Linked DNA regions of Oryctolagus cuniculus. The protein of the gene in region 4 purifies or fractionates together with the protein of the main gene of each other region. This does not show direct contact. Links are inferred from orthologs where the notes say so. Each region holds a gene or a part of one and is shown on either strand. Other genes may lie near its edges.

The links.
Region 1: the proteins of FOXO1 (region 4) and SIRT2 purify together in Homo sapiens (affinity purification with western blotting; 3 studies listed by BioGRID). This does not show direct contact. The link is inferred for Oryctolagus cuniculus from reciprocal best matches to the Homo sapiens genes FOXO1 and SIRT2.
Region 2: the proteins of FOXO1 (region 4) and SIRT1 purify together in Homo sapiens (affinity purification with western blotting; 5 studies listed by BioGRID and IntAct, with this or other methods). This does not show direct contact. The link is inferred for Oryctolagus cuniculus from reciprocal best matches to the Homo sapiens genes FOXO1 and SIRT1.
Region 3: the proteins of FOXO1 (region 4) and SKP2 purify together in Homo sapiens (affinity purification with western blotting; 4 studies listed by BioGRID). This does not show direct contact. The link is inferred for Oryctolagus cuniculus from reciprocal best matches to the Homo sapiens genes FOXO1 and SKP2.
Region 5: the proteins of FOXO1 (region 4) and ATG7 purify together in Homo sapiens (affinity purification with western blotting; 4 studies listed by BioGRID). This does not show direct contact. The link is inferred for Oryctolagus cuniculus from reciprocal best matches to the Homo sapiens genes FOXO1 and ATG7.

What each region holds. Positions count from the first base shown.
Region 1 is NC_091449.1:15,878,284-15,881,978, forward strand, and holds part of SIRT2 (NAD-dependent protein deacetylase sirtuin-2), read left to right. Parts: intron 1-1,578; coding exon 1,579-1,708; intron 1,709-2,970; coding exon 2,971-3,030; intron 3,031-3,267; coding exon 3,268-3,323; intron 3,324-3,429; coding exon 3,430-3,506; intron 3,507-3,597; coding exon 3,598-3,649; intron 3,650-3,695. UniProt on the Homo sapiens protein: NAD-dependent protein deacetylase, which deacetylates internal lysines on histone and alpha-tubulin as well as many other proteins such as key transcription factors.
Region 2 is NC_091446.1:59,833,044-59,837,204, forward strand, and holds the start of SIRT1 (NAD-dependent protein deacetylase sirtuin-1), read left to right. Parts: upstream 1-1,168; 5' UTR 1,169-1,244; coding exon 1,245-1,677; intron 1,678-2,592; exon of another isoform or gene 2,593-2,660; intron 2,661-3,082; coding exon 3,083-3,199; intron 3,200-4,161. UniProt on the Homo sapiens protein: NAD-dependent protein deacetylase that links transcriptional regulation directly to intracellular energetics and participates in the coordination of several separated cellular functions such as cell cycle, response to DNA damage, metabolism, apoptosis and autophagy.
Region 3 is NC_091445.1:61,730,371-61,734,065, forward strand, and holds part of SKP2 (S-phase kinase-associated protein 2), read left to right. Parts: intron 1-839; coding exon 840-974; intron 975-2,995; coding exon 2,996-3,094; intron 3,095-3,695. UniProt on the Homo sapiens protein: Substrate recognition component of a SCF (SKP1-CUL1-F-box protein) E3 ubiquitin-protein ligase complex which mediates the ubiquitination and subsequent proteasomal degradation of target proteins involved in cell cycle progression, signal transduction and transcription.
Region 4 is NC_091440.1:72,837,660-72,842,013, reverse strand, and holds the start of FOXO1 (forkhead box protein O1), read right to left. Parts: upstream 2,928-4,354; 5' UTR 2,792-2,927; coding exon 2,144-2,791; intron 1-2,143. UniProt on the Homo sapiens protein: Transcription factor that is the main target of insulin signaling and regulates metabolic homeostasis in response to oxidative stress.
Region 5 is NC_091441.1:115,793,287-115,796,981, forward strand, and holds part of ATG7 (ubiquitin-like modifier-activating enzyme ATG7), read right to left. Parts: intron 2,588-3,695; coding exon 2,438-2,587; intron 1-2,437. UniProt on the Homo sapiens protein: E1-like activating enzyme involved in the 2 ubiquitin-like systems required for cytoplasm to vacuole transport (Cvt) and autophagy.

The DNA.
Region 1 (3,695 bases), on a different chromosome or scaffold from region 4:
CTTGCTCCTGCCCCCCTCCACACTCTGTCCCCGCCGTCCACTGGCTTCAGGTAGCCTCGACTCCCGCTCCAGTTTAGTTTAATTTCTTTTCTTTTCTTTTCTTTTCTTTTCTTTTCTTTTCTTTTCTTTTCTTTTCTTTTCTTTTCTTTTCTTTTCTTTTCTTTTCTTTTCTTTTCTTTTTTCTTTTCCTTTCCTTTCCTTTCCTTTCTCTCTCTCTCTCTCTCTCTCTCTCTCTCTCTCTCTCTTTCTTTCTTTCTTTCTTTCTTTCCTTCTTTCTTTCCTTCTTTCTTTCCTTCTTTCTTTCCTTCTTTCTTGTGGGGAGCAATCCGGACTGGACTGAGTTACTGGAATTAGGACTTATTCTATGCATCTGCTCTCCCACAATATGGCGCTGGGAGAGAAGTAAACAGCTTCCGCACAGCTGCCTCCAGTTCAACTAATAAACTGTAGGACTTGCTCCTGATTGGAGGAGAGCAGCGTACTCGGCGTGTGGGCAGCCGAGTTGGGATTGGCGGAGGAGGACTATAAAGGAGGAGAGAGACGGCATGCACCGGGAACATCTAAGGGGAACATCTAGCTGAAGGAACACCTGTGCAGCCCCCGAGAAAGCCGGCCGGCGGTGTGCCGCTCCCCTGCGGAAGTGGGGAATGTGGCCAGGGGGAACTGCCCTTCCACAGAGGTGGAAGGGATAGTAGCCAACCCGGGAAGAACCAGCAGCAAACCCGGGGAGGGCCGAGCAGACGAAAGAACAGCGCAGGGTCCTGTGTCGTTCCTCCACGAAGAGGGGGAGCGACATTTCTTTCCTTATTTCTCTCCTTATTTCTCTCTTTCTCCCTCTCTCTCTCTCTCTCTCTCTCTCTCTCTCTCTCTCTTTCTTGACAGGCAGAGTTAGATGGTCAGAGAGACAGAGAGACAGAGAGAAAGGTTCTCCTCCCATTGGTTCACCCCCCAGATGGCCGCTACAGCCGGTGCGCCGGAAGCCAGGAGTCAGGTGCTTCTCCTGGTCTCCCACGCAGGTGCAGGGCCAAAGCACTTGGGCCATCCTCCACTGCACTCCCTGGCCACAGCAGAGAGCTGGCCTGGAAGAGGGGCAACCGGAACAGAATCTGGTGCCCCAACCGGGACTAGAATCCGGTGTGCCGGAGCCTCAGGCGGAGGATTAGCCAAGTGAGCCGCAGCGCCGGCCCATTTATTTCTTTTTTTAAGATTTATTTTATTTATTTGAAAGGCAAAGAGAGGGAGACACACACACACACACACATACACACAGATCTGTCATCCACTGGTTCATTTCCCACAGCTGGTGCTGGTCCAGGCTGGAATCCATCCGGGTCTCCCACATGCTATGATAGGGGCCCAAGCACTTGGGCATCTTCTGCTGCCTTCCCAGGTGCATGAGCAGGGAGCAGGGTTGGAAGTGGAGCAGCCAGGACGCCAGAGTGGCAGTTTAACCCGCTGCGCCAGGCCACCGGCTCCACCTCCTGGCCCGTGAGGAGGGTGGCTCTCTCCTGACTCCTCCTGGCCCATGAGGAGGGGGGCTCTCTCCTGACTCCTCCTCCCTCTGCCTCCCCCACACAGAACATAGACACCCTGGAGCGCGTGGCGGGGCTAGAGCCAGAGGACCTGGTGGAGGCCCATGGTACCTTCTACACATCACACTGTATCAGCTCCCTGTGCCGGCGTGAGTACTCGCTGGACTGGATGAAAGGTGAGGGGCTGGGGGCTCCATGAGGCGGGGAACAGGGCCTCCTGGGCGCTGGGCTCTGTGGTAGTGGCCCCCACTGGTGGGAAGTGGTGGCGCACGCTGCTGTCGGCCAGGCCCTCCTGAGTGCAAACTGCAGACCGTGGTCTGCAGGTGGCCTGTCCCCAAGGCCACGAAACCCCAGCTCTGGGTCCGGTCAGGTGCCCTTCGCACCTGCCTCCCGAGAAGAGCAGCCCTGACCTCTGGAACATTCTGGGACAAGAGAAAGGCTCGTTTCTGCGCAGTCCGCATGGCAGCCCCTTGCAGCCTGTGGCTGTGGAGCTCCGTGCCTGGTGCCCCCTGGGAGCCGAATCGCTCGTTCTGCTTCATTTTTGTTCGCTGAAGTTGTTCAAGTCGCATGTGGCTTTGCGGGCCCATTGTGCATGGTGCAAACACAAGCCGCGGCTTGTGACAGCCGGTGTGGATGTGCATCAGGACGAAGGAGCACGGGCCACACGGGGTTGCGGGAGCTGCCGTCCCAGTTCACACGAGGCCAGAGCTCCAGTCCCCCGAGCCCGCGGCCAGGGCGAGCCTGTCGCCGACGTCCATTGTGCTGGCTGAGGAGCCGCCTGCTGCGGCTGGACAGGCGTCTCTGGCATTCTTTATGCTCAGCTAACAAAGCCGCCGGTGTCCACGTGAGAGCGACAGCTGCAGTCCCCCGGGAGGGTGGCCCTGCTGAAAAGTGGCCAGCTGACTGCCCCCGGGCGTGAGCTCCTGAACCGCAGCCACTGCGTGCAGCTGGTGGCGGGGGACTGGGGGCCGGCGTACAATCACCCCCCCCCCCGGGAGCGTCACCCACAACGCAGCGTCTTGTGCACGCAGCACTGTGCTGGTGTGGGCTGGGAGAATGAATGAGTGGCTGAAGGAATGAGTTAGAGTTCTGAGGGCTGCCAGGGACAGAAAATGCATTCAAGCCTGACAGGGGTGGGATTGTCCCAAGGCAGCTGCACCAGGGGCTCCGTCACGGTCCCCAGGTTCTGTCGCCGTCCCCGCATCATCAGGGGTTCTCCCTCCACTCCCACTCACCCCCCGTTGCCAAACCTGGCAATCACCAGGCCCCCCTGACCCCGGGGAGCCAGGGCTGCCCTCGAAGAGCCCCCTGGAGTCCAGATATCCTGTAACAGAGCAGACCCCACCCCAGGTTCTCCCAGGCCCAAGGGGCGTGTTGGTGCCGCAGCCCCCAGCGCCAGCCCCTCACGGCCCTCTCTCCCCCGCTCTCCCCTGCCCAGAGAAGATCTTCTCGGAGGTGACTCCCAAGTGTGAGAAGTGCCAGAGCGTGGTGAAGCCTGGTGAGCCGGGGCTGGGGCTGCCCAAGCTGGCACCTCCCCCTTCCCCCACCCATCCCTTCCCATAGGTCACCCGCTTCCACCCTCAGCCCTGTGCATCCTGGGGAGGGGGCAGTTCTGTCTGTCCCCCAGCCGTCTCTGCCCTCAGCCGGCCTCTCCTGCTACCTGTCCCCGCTCCGTGTCCTTGCTCTGTATCCCCCGTCTCTTCCTGCCTGTGACCATCCCCCGTCTCCGCGGCAGACATCGTATTTTTCGGAGAGAACCTGCCGGCGCGCTTCTTCTCCTGCATGCAGTCAGTAAGTGCCTGGCCGGCTGCGGCTGGGGCCCTGTTGCAGGGGGCGCGCGGGGCAGAGCGGCCCAGCCTGGGCAGCGGCCGGGGCCCTCACCGCTGCCCCCCTGCAGGACTTCCTGAAGGTGGACCTGCTCATCGTCATGGGCACCTCCCTGCAGGTGCAGCCCTTCGCGTCCCTCATCGGCAAGTAGGTTGGGGGCCAGTGCAGGGCGGGGCGGGGCTGGGCGCTGAGGCGGGGCCAGGACAGAGCCTGAGCACTGAGCCCCGCGTCCCCCCAGGGCACCCCTGTCCACCCCGCGCCTGCTCATCAACAAGGAGAAGACCGGCCAGGTGAGATGCTGTGCTCACACCTCCCCTCGCCCGCCTCCCACCTCCG
Region 2 (4,161 bases), on a different chromosome or scaffold from region 4:
TTGAAGCTAAAGCAACAGAGCTTGAGTTGCTTGCCTAAGGTCATGCAGGTATCGGTGCAATATATCCAGGACCCATAGTCAGTTTAAGGAATGGTGTGCTATGAACGCTGAGAAGTTCTTTAAGTGACTAGAAATGCTGCAGGCAGATGCCACGCAAAGCATAGGTCCTTAGTTATGGCTGTAAAGTAACAATTTTCCAGGGCAAGTGGAAAGTGGTGGAGTTTCCAGTGGGGAAGCAACTCTGGTTTTTGAACTACTATGTACCTTTTAAATATAGCTAGCTTATTTAATTTTCATAACCCTGCAAAATAGGTATTATGAGAAAAAATTGGATTTAGAAAAGGCTAACTTGCTCGGTATACAAGAATCCCAAATTTAAAGCAAACCCAGAGATGGGGAGTGGCCGAGCCTTGTTCTCGACTGCCCGACTTGACCCAATGCAATCACTACACCTGAGAACACCGGGGCCCACAGGTAGGAACGCACACACATTTGAGTACAAGTTACGGACCGAAAGCTGATAGGCTGACTCCCAAGTTCCCAGGTCAAAGGACCTAGGACGGGGACACACGCCTGTGAGGATCTGACAATCTCGCCCCACAAGTGAGGGCGACAGGGCACAAGAGCCAATCACTGAAGGGGAGGGCCAAGCAAAGGAGCTGAAGAAGGGCTGTCAGAATGGCGCGGGGGCGGCAGAGCGCCTTGTTCTTTCCTCCCCACTGACAAAAGCCCAACGGCTACCCAGCGTTATTTCAAGGAGCGAAGCTTCAGTCCTCATCGCCTCTCAGGAGCCCAACTTTAACCCTTAGCTAAAAATGCAGACAGGGCTAGGCAGGGAAGGTGTGCGCTGGAGGCAGAAGTGGAAACTCCGTGAACCAAAACGTGTGCCTTCCGGACGGTCCTGAGTTCAGGACGCTTCCAAACAGAAGTTCAAAAGCGGCCGCCGAGCGAGCGTGCAAGACACGCCCGCCACTGAGGGGAGGGGCCTCAGGCCGCCCGAGCCGCGTTTCCTCCCCGCCCGAGCAGAGAGGGAGACGCCCGGGCCTCCGCCCGCCACGTGACCGGCCGTGTTGTGGTTCGGCCCGCGTGGGTGGCGGGAGCGGCGGGAGGGCGGGGGCGGGGGCGGAGGCAGGTCACGTGACGGGGTTTAAATCTCCCGCAGCCGGAGCCGCGGGGGCGCCAGTGCCGCGCGTCGAGCGGGAGCAGAGGAGGCGAGGAAGGAGGGCCAGAGAGGCAGTTGGAAGATGGCGGACGAGGCGGCGCTCGCCCTTCAGCCTGGCGGCTCCCCGTCGGCTGCGGCGGCCGAGAGGGAGGCCGCTTCGCCGCCTGCTGGAGAGCCGCTCCGCAAGAGGCCGCGGAGAGACGGCCCTGGCCTCGGGTGGAGCCCGGGCGAGTCCGGCGGGCCGGCCCCCGAGCGTGAGGTGCCGGCGGCGGCGGCGGCGGCGGCCGGGAGCTGCCCGGCTGTGGCGGCGGCGCTGTGGCGGGAGGCGGAGGCGGCGACGGCGACGGGCGGGGAGCGAGAGGCCCAGGCTATGGTAGCGGCCGGAGGAGACAATGGGCCTGGCCTGCAGGGCCTACCCCGGGAGCCGCCGCCGGCCGACGATTTCTGCGAAGACGAAGACGACGACGACGAGGGCGAAGAGGAGGAAGAGGCGGCGGCGGGGATTGGGTACAGAGGTGCGCAGGGCGCGGGCGGCCGGGACTGCGCATCCCCCTCCTCCTCCTCTCGGGGCCCCTCCTAGTGTCCGGTTGGGGGGGGGGTCTCTAGGGCGGGCCGGGGGTTCCGGGCTGGCTCGCGGGATCCTCTCCCCATGGCGGCCCTCCGTTCAGCCGCGCTGCTCCCGGGCTGCCGGCCGTGCGGTGGGGAGCTGCGCGCGGACTTGCTCCTTGTCTTCCCTCGGTCCGCGGCCCCTCTCGGCGGCCTTGCGGCGTTCGACGCAGCCGCCGGGTGTGGACGCTGTCTCCCTTGGCTTTACAAATAAGTTTTCTCTCTTCTAGTATTGCTTTCGTTGAACTTACTTTGCTCTCCTCCTCCTTCACCAGCACACTTAAAGTCTGCAACTTTCGGCCGTCCCGTTGGTCGACCTTTCGCAGTTGCCCGTGCAAACTGACACCTGTGCCATTTATTTATTTATTTGACGATCTGTACTTTTAAACTTGTAGTTATAAATTTGGAAAGAGCAAAGCGGCTTTCTGAGGTCTTAACCTGAAAACTTTAAAAGCATAGTTTCTAAAGCAGTCTTTTGTGATGCGTTTAGTGGGGATCGCATAATGAAGTACTTTCAGAGTGCTTTATATTAATATTGTGGTTGAGTCGTGTTCTGAAGTGGTTTTAAGCTAAATGGGATTCTTCTGTATATATGTGATCCTGAAGCAGGTTGACATGTTTTTGACATACTGAAGTACATGTCTTGTCCTTGAGGGTTTCATAGTTTGACTTGAGAAGTTTCTGTGTCTGTCAGTACTGTGTCGGAACTAGCCAGTGGAGCATTTAGTAGCCACATGGAAAAAAAAAAATGTGTAGTGTATACATCAGGGACTGCACAGGTGAAGCAGCTCCTGATTTCAAGAAACAAAATTCCTTCCTCCTTCAGGTAAATTTGGCAAATATTAAATTTCTTTGTGATTCAGTCTGCTGAACTAAGGAACCATCATAGTATTTAGAAGCACAATAAATGGGAGAAACAGATAATGCAGAAATAGCTAAGTATGTTTAGTAGTATATAAAAGCCCAGAGTGCAGGCAGCCTTGGTTTTCACAACGTTGGTGGGTAAATTTTGACAACTTGCATGTACTCCTTTGCTTGTATGATTGCTAAGCTCAGTCTATAGAGACTACCTCTTATTCTGTTTTGACTTTTTAAAAAGTAGACTCAGATTTTTGATAGACTGAAGCTTTGAATTCTGCAAAGGATCTCTTGAGGATCAGAGAACTGCTCTTGTGAATGTTGACCACCTTTACACATGCGGGATGTATGTTAAATGCTTTAGTCATTAAAAATGGTTGCTTTGTGACCACTGATGAGTCTTCTTGCATTTCAGATGCAGGCTGTCAGCAGCCTTAATGTTGATTTCTTTTGCAGATAATCTCTTGTTCGGTGATGAAATTATCACTAATGGCTTTCACTCATGTGAAAGCGATGACGACGACAGAGCCTCACATGCAAGCTCTAGTGACTGGACTCCAAGGCCACGGATAGGTATGGTTCAGAGCTGTGCCCCTCCCCCCATTTTCCCTCTGTCCCTTTAATAGATTGAAGTTTTTAGGTACATGGAGAGATTTAATAACAACTTATATTTCTAAGAAAAATCTAGTGCTCTTAAGTACAAAAATTGTACGTATTTATGGGGTACCATTTGATGTTTTGACACATTATAGATTGTGTAACATCTAAATTAGAGTAAACATCCCTGTCTCATACATCATCTTGTTATTGTGAAATCATTCAAAATCTTTTTTGCTATTTTTTTTAAAGAAAAATAAAGGGGTAAGCATAGAGGTTAATATGCTAGTTGGGTCTCCTGGATCCTATATCTGAGTGCCTACTTTGAAGTCCTGCTTTGCTACTGATTCCAGCTTCTTGGTAATGGACAGTGTTGGAGTTGGTGGATAGTGGTTCCAGTGGCTGGGTTCCTACTACCCCTGTAAAAGACTTGGATTGAGTTCTTGACTCCTGGCTTCTGCGTGGCCCAGCCCAGCTATTGTGGCTGTTTGGGGACTGAAACGGCAGAGGGGAGCTGTCACTCACATCCGCTTTCTTGCTCTCTTGTGCTCTCACTCCACCTTTTTAAATAAAGAACATAATTTTTTAAAAATTAAATAAAACACACAATGCATTTTCTTTTTTTTTTTTTTTTTAAGACTTATTTACTTACTTGAAAGTCGGAGTTACACAGAGACGGAGAGAGGTCTTCCATCCGCTGGTTTACTCCCCAGATAGCTGCAACAACTGGAGCTGTGCCGATCCGGAGCCAGGAGCTTCTTCTGGGTCTCCCACATGGGTGCAGGGGCCCAAGGACTTGGGCCATCTTCTGCTGCTATCCCAGGCCACAGCAGAGAGCTGGATCAGAAGTGGAGCAGCCGGGACTTGAACCGGTGCCCATATGGGATGCCAGCACAGCAGGCAACGGCTTTACCCGCTATGCCACAGCGCCACCGCCC
Region 3 (3,695 bases), on a different chromosome or scaffold from region 4:
TGACGCCCATATGGGATGCTAGCATTGCAGGCAGTGGCTTAACCCATTGTGCCACAACACTGGCCCCTCCATCATTATTTAAAATATAGAGGACAGAGACAGAGAGTTCCCCTCCACTGGTTCATACACCATCTGGGACTGGGCTAAAACAATCCAGGTTTCCCAGACGAGTGACAAGAACTGTATTAATAACTTGAGGCATCAGCACTGCCTCCCAGTGTCACATTAGCAGGAAGCTAGAGTTAGAAACCAGAGCCAGGTATCAAACCTAGGTACCTCAATAAGGGACATAGCATCTTAGCTGCTAGGCTAAACGCCTCCTTTTTGTAGACCATTTATATGCATGGCTCTCAAAATTATTTGCACCAAAATAAACTTATATTAAGTGTTGTTTAATTTATATAAGAGATAAGACAGAGAGAGGTCTTCTGTTTGTTGGTACACTCCCCAAATATTGCCATTAGCTGGAGCTGGGCTAAACCAACGCCAGAAACCAGGAATTGCATCCAAGTCTTCGACATGGATGGCAAGGCCCCAACCACTTGAGCTGCCTCCCAGGATGCATATTAATAGGAAGCTGGAATTGGGAGTGGAGCCAGCACACAAACACAGGCCCTCTGAAAGGGGACGTGGGCATCTGGAGCAGCGTCTTAACTGCTGTGCCAAACACCTGCCCCTAAACTTATCTTTTGACTGCATTGTCCATGGATTTGTTGAAATGCTGTCATATTTAGGGTCCTGTCTGATTAGCTGCTCATTTGGTGAGCTCTGGGGCCAGATTTGGTCTGAATGTGCTTGCATGAGCAGCCTTATTGAGCCTCTTTCTTCTCGTTGTCCAGCTCTTTCCGTGTGCAGCACATGGACCTGTCGAACTCAGTAATAAACGTGTCTACCCTTCACGGCATTCTGTCTCAGTGCTCCAAGTTGCAAAACCTAAGCCTGGAAGGCCTACAGCTTTCGGATCTCATCGTCAAGTGAGTGGTAGCCAGAGCATGTCACAAAGGCAATCGTTTTTTATGTGCATTAATGTTCCTTGAATATGACTTGAATGCCCATCTACCCATATCCAGATGGACACAGAAAATACCTAATGCAGTACTCCAGCTTCTGCAAAACTTCGCAGGACTCATCAAGGCAACAAAAGTTGAACTGCTAGTTATATTCCAGGCCTCAGTTGTAGAGATACAAGGATGAACAAGGCATGGTCCTTGACTCATTCGTAAAAGGGACGTAATTACAAGTAATTACATAATTACTTGTGCAGTGTGTTCGCTGGATGCATGGGTGATGATGTAGCAGCCTCCACAGGGAGACCTAATTTAATTTAGGAGGGCAGCCTTCTCAGAGGAAGTGACTCTGCAGCTCAGGATTGAAGATACTCAGGGAGGAGATCCCCAAGTAATAGGACAAAGGAAGCAGCCTGGGCAAAGCTGACTGTGTGACTCAGAACTCTGTTAAGTAGTTCGAAGTTGCTGGAGCCCAGTGCTCAGGGCTGGAAGTGACAAGAGGTACAGAGTTGGCGGCGTGATTAGAATGGGCATGTGGGCCACACAGACTGGGCTGTGAAGCGGGAAGCATGGTGAGAATGGGAGGGCTGTGTCAGAGTGTGAATTTAGGAACCTGGTAGGCAGTGTGGGGTGGCAGACATGGAAGAAACTAGACTAGTTAGGACACTGTTCATTCAGGTAAGAAAGATGAAGCCTGATATGAAAAAGTATAACAAGAGCAACTAACATTTATTGACTACTTGTTATATGCCAGATGCTAAGTCCTTTATTTTTCTTTCTTTATTTGTTATTTTAAGAGAAGGAGAGACCTCCCACCCACTGGTTCACTCCTCAAATGCCCAGGAGCCAGGAACTCAATCCAGATCTCCCAGATAGGTGGCAGAGACCCAGCTAACTGAGCCATCACCTGCTGTTTCCCAGTATGTGAATTAGCTGTAAGCTGGGATCAGGAGTGGAACTGGGACTTGAACCTAGGCACTCTTATGTGGAACGGGGCATCCCAAATGCATTTTAACTTTCAAACACCCCCTCCACTAAGTTCTTTTTTATTTTGTTTTTTAAAAGATTTATTTATTTATTTTGAAAGCCAGAGTTAGAGAGAAGGATCTTCCATCTGCTGGTTCACTCCCCAAATGGCCGCAACAGCCAGGGCTGGGCCAGGCTGAAGCCGAGAGCCAGGAACTTTGTCCAGGTCTCCCACGTGGGTGGCAGGGTCCCAAACACCTGGGCCATTCTCTGCTGCTTTTTCCAGGCACCATCAGCAGGGAGCTGAATCAGAAGTGGAAAAGGCAAAGGAGTGGAACTGGCACCCATGTGGGTTGCAGGTGGTGGCATTACTCACTACACCACAGCACAGGCCCCTCCACTAGGTTCTTTAAATGCATTCTCATTTAATTCTAACCCCTGATGTGTTTTTGTTGTTTCCTCTTTATAGATGTGGAAACTGAGTCACAGGCTGAATAACAAGATCACATAGTTAGTAGGTGGCTAAACCGATATTTGAATCTGGCAATATGATTCCAGAATTCTTACCCCAATCATGAAGTTTCACTAACACAGGGTGTTTGGGAATGTGGAAGAGGACAAATTTAAGAGACATTTAATTGAAAGAAACTGGTGGCTTTATGGGTACAAATTTGCCCATAAGCTGATTCCACATGGAAGTGAAATGGATATGTTTATCACATTGATTTTTTCTTTAATTTAACAAGTACACCTGTGACTTAGTGCCAGGCACTGTGCTAAATCCTTTATTACGTTATATCATTTAATAACCTTACCTGGAAGGCACTGATATTGCCATCTCACAGGTGAGTAAACTGAGACAAAAGCCACCTGCTTAGTGTCACAAAGATAATGAAATGTGAACTCTAAACTCACTTCTGACTCAAAGGTCAGTTCACTGACTGTACCAACTGTTTTCCTCTAAACACCATTGATCAGATGTGAGTGCCTTACCACTGTTCCTCTTTTTTCTCTTTTTCCAGTAATCTTGCACAGAACTCAAATTTAATGCGACTAAACCTTTGTGGGTGTTCTGGATTCTCTGAATCTGCCCTGAAGACTTTGCTAAGTGGCTGCTCCAGGTAGGAAATTTGGGACTTGATGCATTAATTAATTTATTTGAAAAACAGTGAGACAGAGGGGTGTGGGGGGTAGGCAGACATACAGAGATCTCTCCCCTATTGGTTCACTCTGCAAATGCCTTCAGTAGACAGACTGTGTCAGGCCAAAGCAAGGAGCTAGGAATTCAGCCCCAGTCTTCCTTTTGGAGGTAATGACTCAACTTCTTGAGCCAAAGCCAGAAGCCAGGAACTCAAGACTCTTCCAGGTCTTCCATGTGGATGGTATAGTTGAGCCATCACCTGTTGCCTCCCGGTATGCATTAGTAGGAAGCAGGATCAAAAACAGAAGTGGGACTTGATTTTGATATGGGATGCATTTGTCCCAAGCGACAGCTTAACCTGCTGAACCACAAAGCCCACCCCTCTATCAGTGTTTTAAAACCTCTCAGGTGATAAAACTTACAGACTAGAATTTCTACCTGCATTCTTGGAAGGAGGTATGAACCATCAGGAGAAGAGAGTGCTCCCCTCAGTCTCCAGAAGGGGGCAGCATCCACTAAGGCCTGTGCTCAGATCCCCTGACAACTTTGGGGAGCCAGTGGGGCAGAGGTGTATGTGAAAG
Region 4 (4,354 bases):
AACTCGGTTTTAACAAGTAACTCATTTTTATGAAATGTCTAACCAGAAGACTAGTTATGAGTTAGAACAGTTCAGGTTTTTTTTTTTTTTTTCCTTAAAATACCCTTTTACTCAAACTGAAAATACACTTGCTGGAATCTGACTTGCACCAACTGATTCTTCATTACTCCTGAAACATCTACTCATCTGACAAACACAGACTACTCCCTCCCAAGGCCAGGCTCGGAGTTCCCTCTGGGAGCTGCCACTCAGCACATGGTCCCTACTCAGCACTTAATAGCTCTCCTAAAGACAATTTTAAAATACAAAATTATACCTGCATCTTTAAAAAAAAAATGTTAAAACAAGAACTTAAGAAAATGGTTAAGGGGGTGATATGACCTTAGAGTTTACATACATATAAAGTCTAAGCCTTAAAAAGTTCTAAGTTATATTCCTAGTGTCAGAATACCTTGACAATGCCTTGAGAGGCAAACTAAAAATATCCTGAAACACTGCCCTTATCTTTAAAGAAAGCTACTCCAGCAAGTTGAAGTAAGTTGTATCCATTTCCAAGGACGTGAAAGAATGGCTAAGTACACACAGTACTCTGAATGTCAAAAAAAAAATTTAATTGCAAATGCTTTTTAATAGCTTAAATAGAATTGATAGATGAGCAAATCAGTCAAGTACTTAAATTCCAATACTAAGTGAAATTGGATTTGACAATCTTCATTTTGTGACTGAGAACACAAGATACAAGGAGCCTACAGCAAGAAGGCACTTTACTTTTACGAACCACTTGGCAAAACTGCACGTAATGCCTACTAATGAGGTTATAAGTGATACTTTTACTCTTAAACACTGTTAGGAAAAATAAAGTCCTGACTCCTTCTCCAAGGAACCTCAATAAGATGTGAGGAAGCTGACCTTTCTGACACATTAACCACAGAACCGACAGGGTATGTGAGCCAGTCGCTGTAACGCTCGCGCGGGGAAGACCACTCCGTGTTACGCCGTACAGTCACGCTAAGGGGCCAGGCGAGGCGAGAAAGGGGTCTGATTCAAGCAGCGAGTCTTTTCACATCCAAAACCGTGAGAAACTGTCGGCTTTCGGGGGCCCGCGCCGAGCGCGTCCTCCCGCGGCCTTCAAGGCGGGGAAGGGATGCGCCAGCCACCCCCCACCCGAGTCTTTGCCAGCCTCGCTCAGGATGTCCTGCCGTGGCCCGGACGCGCACCTCCTCTGCGACTTCCCCGGCCGCAAGGGTCACAAAACCCCCTGCGTCGGCCCTCACCGGCGCACCAGCGCTTCATAACACTGAGGTGGCGAGGCCAAGAAAAGGCGCGCGGGCGCGCACACACACACCCACCCTGGCCTGCCTCCGTGTTTCTAATTATTAGCCTCACACCGTGGCCAAGCCCATGTTTGGGGCGCTTCCCTGCGTGGACCGGGGCCGGCCCGCCGCGCTGGCCCTTTAAAGGCGCTCGCTTCCTGCGCCCGCGGCCCCTCCCCAGCCGCCGCCGGCGCCCGCCCCCGCCGAGGGTCACACTTGAACTTAGCTCGCCCCGCGCGGCCGGGCGCCGGCGCTCCGCAGGCGGTGGCCGCCCCTTCGCACGTGTCGGAGGCGCTCCCTCGGGCTCGGCGCGCCTGGACCCCAGCACCCGAGGCCACCCGGGATAAAACCAAAACAAAGCCAAAAGCGCATCGGCCTCCAGAAGTGGCGCGGCCGACCCCGCACCGTCCCAAGGCTGTCCCCTCCACCTGCAGCCGTGCCCCCCGGGTTTGGGTGCCCCCCTCGCCGCCCCCTCCACCGCTCGGCGCGGCGGAAACGGCCCCGCGCTGCGAGGGCGGAGAGGAGCCGCCCTCCCCGCCGGAGGTCCGGGAGGCAAAAGGGGCAGCCGCTCCGCGTGAAACCTTCTCTCTCTGACTGGCAAACTTTCCTGCCCGCTCTGACGCCCAGTTCCTGACGCACTTTCTTCACGCCTCAGTTCCCCCCCAACACGCCCCTGTGCCTGTCCCACCGCAACTCTGCGGCGCGCGCGCGCCTCCCCTCCGCCCGGGCAAGCCCCCGCACCTGCCACTTCCCACCCGCCCTCGGCCGCCCGCGCGACCCGCCCAGCCACCCCCGCACCTGCCCCACCGCGCCCCGGTCCGGCCGCTCACCTTCCAGCCCGCCGAGCTGTTGCTATCGCCCTTATCCTTGAAGTAGGGCACGCTCTTGACCATCCACTCGTAGATCTGAGACAGCGTGAGCCGCTTCTCGGCCGAGCTCTCGATGGCCTTGGTGATGAGGTCGGCGTAGGACAGGTTGCCCCACGCGTTGCGGCGGGACGAGCTGCTCTTGCGCGGCTGCCCAGCGAGCGGCCCAGCAGCCGCGGGGGGTACAGGCGGGTGCTGTGACAGTGGCCCGGGCGCCGGGGGCTGCGGCGGCGCCGGGTGCAGGCAGCCCGCCGCCTCTGCGCCCTGGAAGTCCCCGCACAGTCCCCCGGTGGCAGCCGCCGCGGCCGCCGCCACCGCCGCCGCCGCCGCTGCGGCCGCCGCCACGGAGCCGGGCGCCTGCGGGAAGTCCTCGCTCTCCTCCAGCAGGCTCAGGTTGCTCATGAAGTCGGCGTTGACAGCGGCCGCCGAGGCTGGGGGCAGGCCCGCCGCGGCGTCGGGGTTGGCGGCCGCGCCGCCCGACGGCGCCGGGCTGGAGGTGGCCGAGTTGGACTGGCTAAACTCCGGCCTGGGCAGCGGCCAGGTGCACGAGCGCGGCCGGGGCAGCGGCTCGAAGTCCGGGTCGATCTCCACCACCTGAGGCGCTTCGGCCATGGTGACCCCCGCCCCTCCCCCAGCCGCCGGAGAGCCGAGAAGGGGGGGAGCGCAGCGCGGAGCGGAGGGGGCGCAAAGGCTGGCCCGAGATCCTGGGGGGATGGGGGGAGGACGAAGTCAGTGCCGCGAGCTGACGGAAACCGGGAGGAAGGAGCAGCGGAGTAGCCGCGCGAGCCCAGAACTTAACTTCGTGGGTCCATCAACATCCAAGGCTGCTCCGGGTTCGCTGCACCACCAGGACGGCTGGCCAGAGCCGGGCAGCTCCAGGGCCGCGCTCCTGCTGACAGGGCCACGGACGGACGGACGGACGGACGGACACCGCGGGCCGCTCGCTCTCGCCGGCGGCGCGAGCGCGGCGCAGCTGCCTGTTGAATGCGCTGGAGGCGGCGGCGGCGGCGGCGGCGGCAGCAGCAACTACGCGGCTGCCCGACTTACGGGATCTGCCACCGCCCCCCGCCCGCGGCGGCGCGCGCGCCGGCCCGCCCCCGATTGACAGCCCGCGCAGCCAATGGGCGCGCGGCACCGCCGCCCAAGCAGCCAGTGGGAGAGGGCTGGGGAGGGGCCCGGTTTTCCACGAGGAGGCGGCTGTGGGTTGGTAGGGGGGTAGTGGGGTGTTTTTCTCGTTGGCGCACACGCACGTTCTCTCTCTTTTTGTGATTATTTTCTGGTAATTCTCGAGTATTTCTGCGAGTCTCTCGCCCTCTTACTGTTTTGACTGCTGAGAGGCAAACCAACGTGGAGGCGGCGGCGACACTTTGTTTACTACGGGGGAGCCGAGCCGTGGACTGGCGAAGCCCGAGCGGAACGAGCGGCTGCCGTGGCCCCGACCTCCGCTCGGCGCCCAGACCAGGGCAGGGCAGGGCAGGGCGCGGGGCGGGGCGGGGTGGAGGCGGCCGCGCGGAATTCCACTCGGTCGCCCCCTCTCCGCTCCACCCACGCGGTCCGCGCGGCGCGGTGCGGGGAAGTCGGCAGGGTTTGTTTTCGTGCAGCGTTTTCTTTCGCTGCGCTCGGTCAAGTCCTCCTGCCCCCGCTCGGGCCGCACACGCCTCCCCGTCCCCACCCCGGGAGACCGTGGGCCTTGTGGTCGGGTCCCTGCCGGCACGGGACGCCAGCCGCGCCGCCCCCGCGCCGGAACCCACCTGCGCGCGCCGCCCCCGGGGCTGGTCGTCCGGCCCGAATTCTGCCATTGTTGACCTAAAAGGGCAGAAATGAGGGAAAGGGCTGGGCAAGCACAGGGTCCCTGGGTCTCCTATCCTCTGGGACACTCTGCCCTAGCGCGCCAGCCTTGCACTGTCCACCGGGCCAGCGGTGGCCGCGGCGAAGGGTCGGCAGAGCAAGTTCGCGAGCACTTTGTCCATTTATTCCTTGCCCGTAATTAAGTGTAACAGTTGGCTTACTTCCTTTTTTATTTAGAAGTGATGAAGTGTTGAGTAAAAACGCGAGAGGGGCTGAGACCGAAGCCTTGACCACAGCGCTGCCCCACCCCCAGGTTGTGGGGCTGCCCGCTGCGTCCATCAGTCACTCCCACCCCACCTCCCCACCTTGCTCCATCTGGGCTCCAGG
Region 5 (3,695 bases), on a different chromosome or scaffold from region 4:
AAAGTTCTGTTCGCTGGGCTTCTGCTCGAGGCTAACTTTCCCTGGAAGCCGTATCTGAGTACATCAGTCCACAGGGCCCTCTTCTGCCTCTCCACACCCCCGTCACGTGCTGCACCAGTGTCGGGCATCGCACTCCGTGTAAAGGATACAGAGTGGGGGGAAATCCGGTCTCTGTGCCACAGGTGTGCACAGGCAGACAGACGAGCAAACCAACCCGTGGGTGCAGAAGGAGGCTGCTACCAGAATGCAAAGGAGGGAGGCGAGAGGCTATGGGCAATCAGTCAGTGCTTCCTGGGGTGGTGATTGACAAGGGGACAGAGGGGAGACAGCTGGGGCAAGAGGAGGCACTGGGAGGGCAGAGCTGCAGCTAGGAGAGGGAATGCATCTTGGAGAACACCAGATGAGGCTGGAGTGACAGGCTGGGGCCAGATGTGAAGAGGCCTTGAATGCAGAGTGCAGTCAACAGGAACCCAGAGGAGTTTCAAACCAAAGAGTGACATCAGCAAGCGTGCAGGCTGGAAACCGTACTTGGGCAGCAGTGCGCCATGGCGAGAGAGGCCAGCCAGGAGACCAGGAACCCCTGAAGGCCACCAGTGGGCACAGCCGGGCGATGCTCTCTAGAACCAGCCAGGGCACTGTGTGCATCACTGCTCTGCTCCTCTCCTACCCACCCAGAACTTCCAGCGAACTGCCCACGAGTCAAGGCCTCCGCTGTCCAGGCCCCTTGAGGTCCTCTGAGAACAGGTCTGACTGCATCTCACAATTCCTGGCCCAACACACATGCTGAGGAATCACAACCTTTCCCGAGATACAGCCCCAGCCAAGTCACAGGGACGCTGTGCCTGGCCATGGCTGGCAGCTGGTCTCGGGGACAGGACACTGGAAACCCCCCCCAGGGATCTGATCATGGGAGAAAGGAAGCGGATGCATACTGAGCCCCTGCTATGTGTGGGCACCTCATTCACAGATCCGGGAGGAGGCAGTGCCGCCACCATCTCACTGATGTACGAAGGCCAGGCCGGGCACGGCAGCTCCGCCGAGGTCACAGAGCTCTCCAGCAGTGTCGACTGCAAAGGTCAAGCAGCGGCTACCTCTGCTCGGACAACGAGCAAGTGGGAAGCGCTAAGGGCAAGAGCTGGGGAATCAGACAATTTGACCCCACGCCTTTGTGTCTCTTGTTCACATAGAAAACGCGATTCTAATAACACCTATTTCATAGAATTAGCATGACAAGATCAAGGAGGTGAAAGTCCCTCTCGCACAGGAAAGAGCTCCTCAGATCACTCCTGCTCCGTTCAGCAGAGCTGCGCTGTGTGAGAGACCTGAGCCCTGGCTGCTGTCGGATCCACCTGTCCTGCCTGCTGTCCCCACGTGACCCCCGGGACTGGGCTTCGGTCATTCCTGGTTAGTCTTACTGCTGCTTACTCAGCTGCAGTTCTGAGAATTTTAATGAGAATTCAATCCTCCAACCTTACTTTACAAAGGGCCTCTTCTGAAAAAGAAAATGCTAATGTGGGAACATAAAAAGCTCTCAAAAAAGACAGGCTTGGCTAAGGGAAATTGGGCCATCAGGTAAGACCACTTTCCTCCACGGCTGCTGAAATTATTGTTACTGTGTAGCCGATGACATCTCAAAGATGCTTACTATATTCTTCTGCTCACTCAAAGACAAGTGCCAGACACTAGCAGACACAGATCCCTGAGGCAAGGGTCCTGCCCTCTGGGAACACACAGCCCAGCACAGCGCAGGAAGGAAGGCAGCCAAAGCCCTGGCTCTGTGACAGAGAATAGGAGAACAAGAGCAGAGTCCAGAGAGGGAGGGATCACACGGCCGCACCCCAGGGGAGGCTTGGTGACAGGGTTAGATTTCAGTAGAGACATTCGTAGGACTTTCCCTGGCACCGTATGTTTGGGAAAGATGACCCCACAGGAGCAAAAAGGGGAAAGTTCTGGGTATATTTGGTTTGCCTGCGGGTGGCAGGCGTCTGCTGAAACCCAGACAAGCTTAGCCACAGCAATGGTTTCAGGGGGCCGGAGCAGGAGACTAGGTGGGGCCGGGTCAATGAATGAGGCAATGATCGTGAGTCACTGAAAGAAAAGTGTCCCTAGTGGCATCAAGCGAGACAGGAAGCAAGGATTCCCACTGTCCAGAGCTGAACTAAGTCGAGGATGAGGAAACAGGAGGGACACTGAGACACCTTAACCACCAGTGGGAGGGAACCACAGCTCCCCTGAGCATAATGGGGTAGGAACCTCCGAAGGAGGAGTGAATGTGGGAGCCCAGGACAGGGCCGCAGGAAGAAAGCGACGTTCTAAGACATCGTCTGGGGAGCTAAGGGAATCTAATCGAGTCTGAAGTCGCAGTGATCTACAATAACATAAACTTCAAACTTTTTTTTTAACTGGATAAAAAAGTGACATTCAAAGTTTCTCTGACCTTTGTCCTTTGACCTTGGAAGAAATCACTGTAGTGTTTAAGCAAGGAGACTTGCACCGTGTTCTCATCATACTTGATTAAGAAGTAAGGCAGGGCCGTGACTCCTTCTCTTTGACAAAGATCATCATACGCACGCTTCAGGGCCTCTATCTGCAAATAGGAAACAGGAGGTTATTCTCTGGACAAACACTTGTCGTTCTGAGCTAAAACCTGACATGAAGCTGCCTTGAGGCCAGCAGAGTGGAAATGACCGATCGCACCTCTGCTCCTCTTCTGCAGCAAATGAACGTCAATGTGCACCCAGACACTGCGACACTGCCACGTAACTTCTACGCGACCCCTTTCAGGTGCACGGTGTGCACCTTAGACAGGGCCGCAGTGTGGTGGCTCCCGAGTCTGCCAACCACAGAGGGTCGGCGAGGAAACAGATGTTCCATCTCTCCTGCACTGGCCAGCATGAATGCCCCATGGGGCAACGTGACCGTGAGCCTCCCATGATCTTTAACAAGGAACCTTGCCGTGACCTTTACTGAGACACCACTCCAACGCCACACTGAAGTACACAACCTCATGAGTTTTTTAATCCAGTCACAGGGGTGTCACCATCAGAGTGACAGTTTCATAGCATTCTTCTTTTTTCCTACAAGGAAGCCCACACTCGCCAGCAGTCATTCTCCAAGCACGAGCATCCCTCACCCCCCTTCTCGTAGGATTTCTTCTCTGGAAATTAGTCCCACAAACCACAACCTTGGGTTTATACTAAAGAGCTTGTTCTTGGTTTTGCCTTCAAAACAGTCACAGGGGCCCCGGGCTTCAGCACTCAGCGTTGTAGTGATGCAGTCGTGGTGACGCTCAATCCTCGCCTGAACAGCTGTCGGAACGCTCGGGCTCGGGGTCTCAGCTCCGCAGCCTGATCGTGCCAGCTGCTCCTCTCCCATCACCTCCGAGGACCTCACCCTCCTTCCCAGTGAGATGGCACCCACTGGCTGTGCACGTGCCACTCCTGAGGGGGCAGTCCTGCCGCCGTGCACGAGGGCAGAGGGCAGAGGGCTGTGTGATTTCAGACGCTCTTCCCGCAGAACGATGCCTTAGGTTTCCCTCCACTCAGTGTGAAGACTCTGTTTTGGTAGATTCTTGCAGTCTTTCAAAGTGTCCCTGTAACCCTCCTTGCTGGCTTAGCATCTCACCAAACACCATGGAAACCTGGAAAACTCCTGCTGACTGCATCTGCAAAATGACCCTGTGAACATTCTGTCAA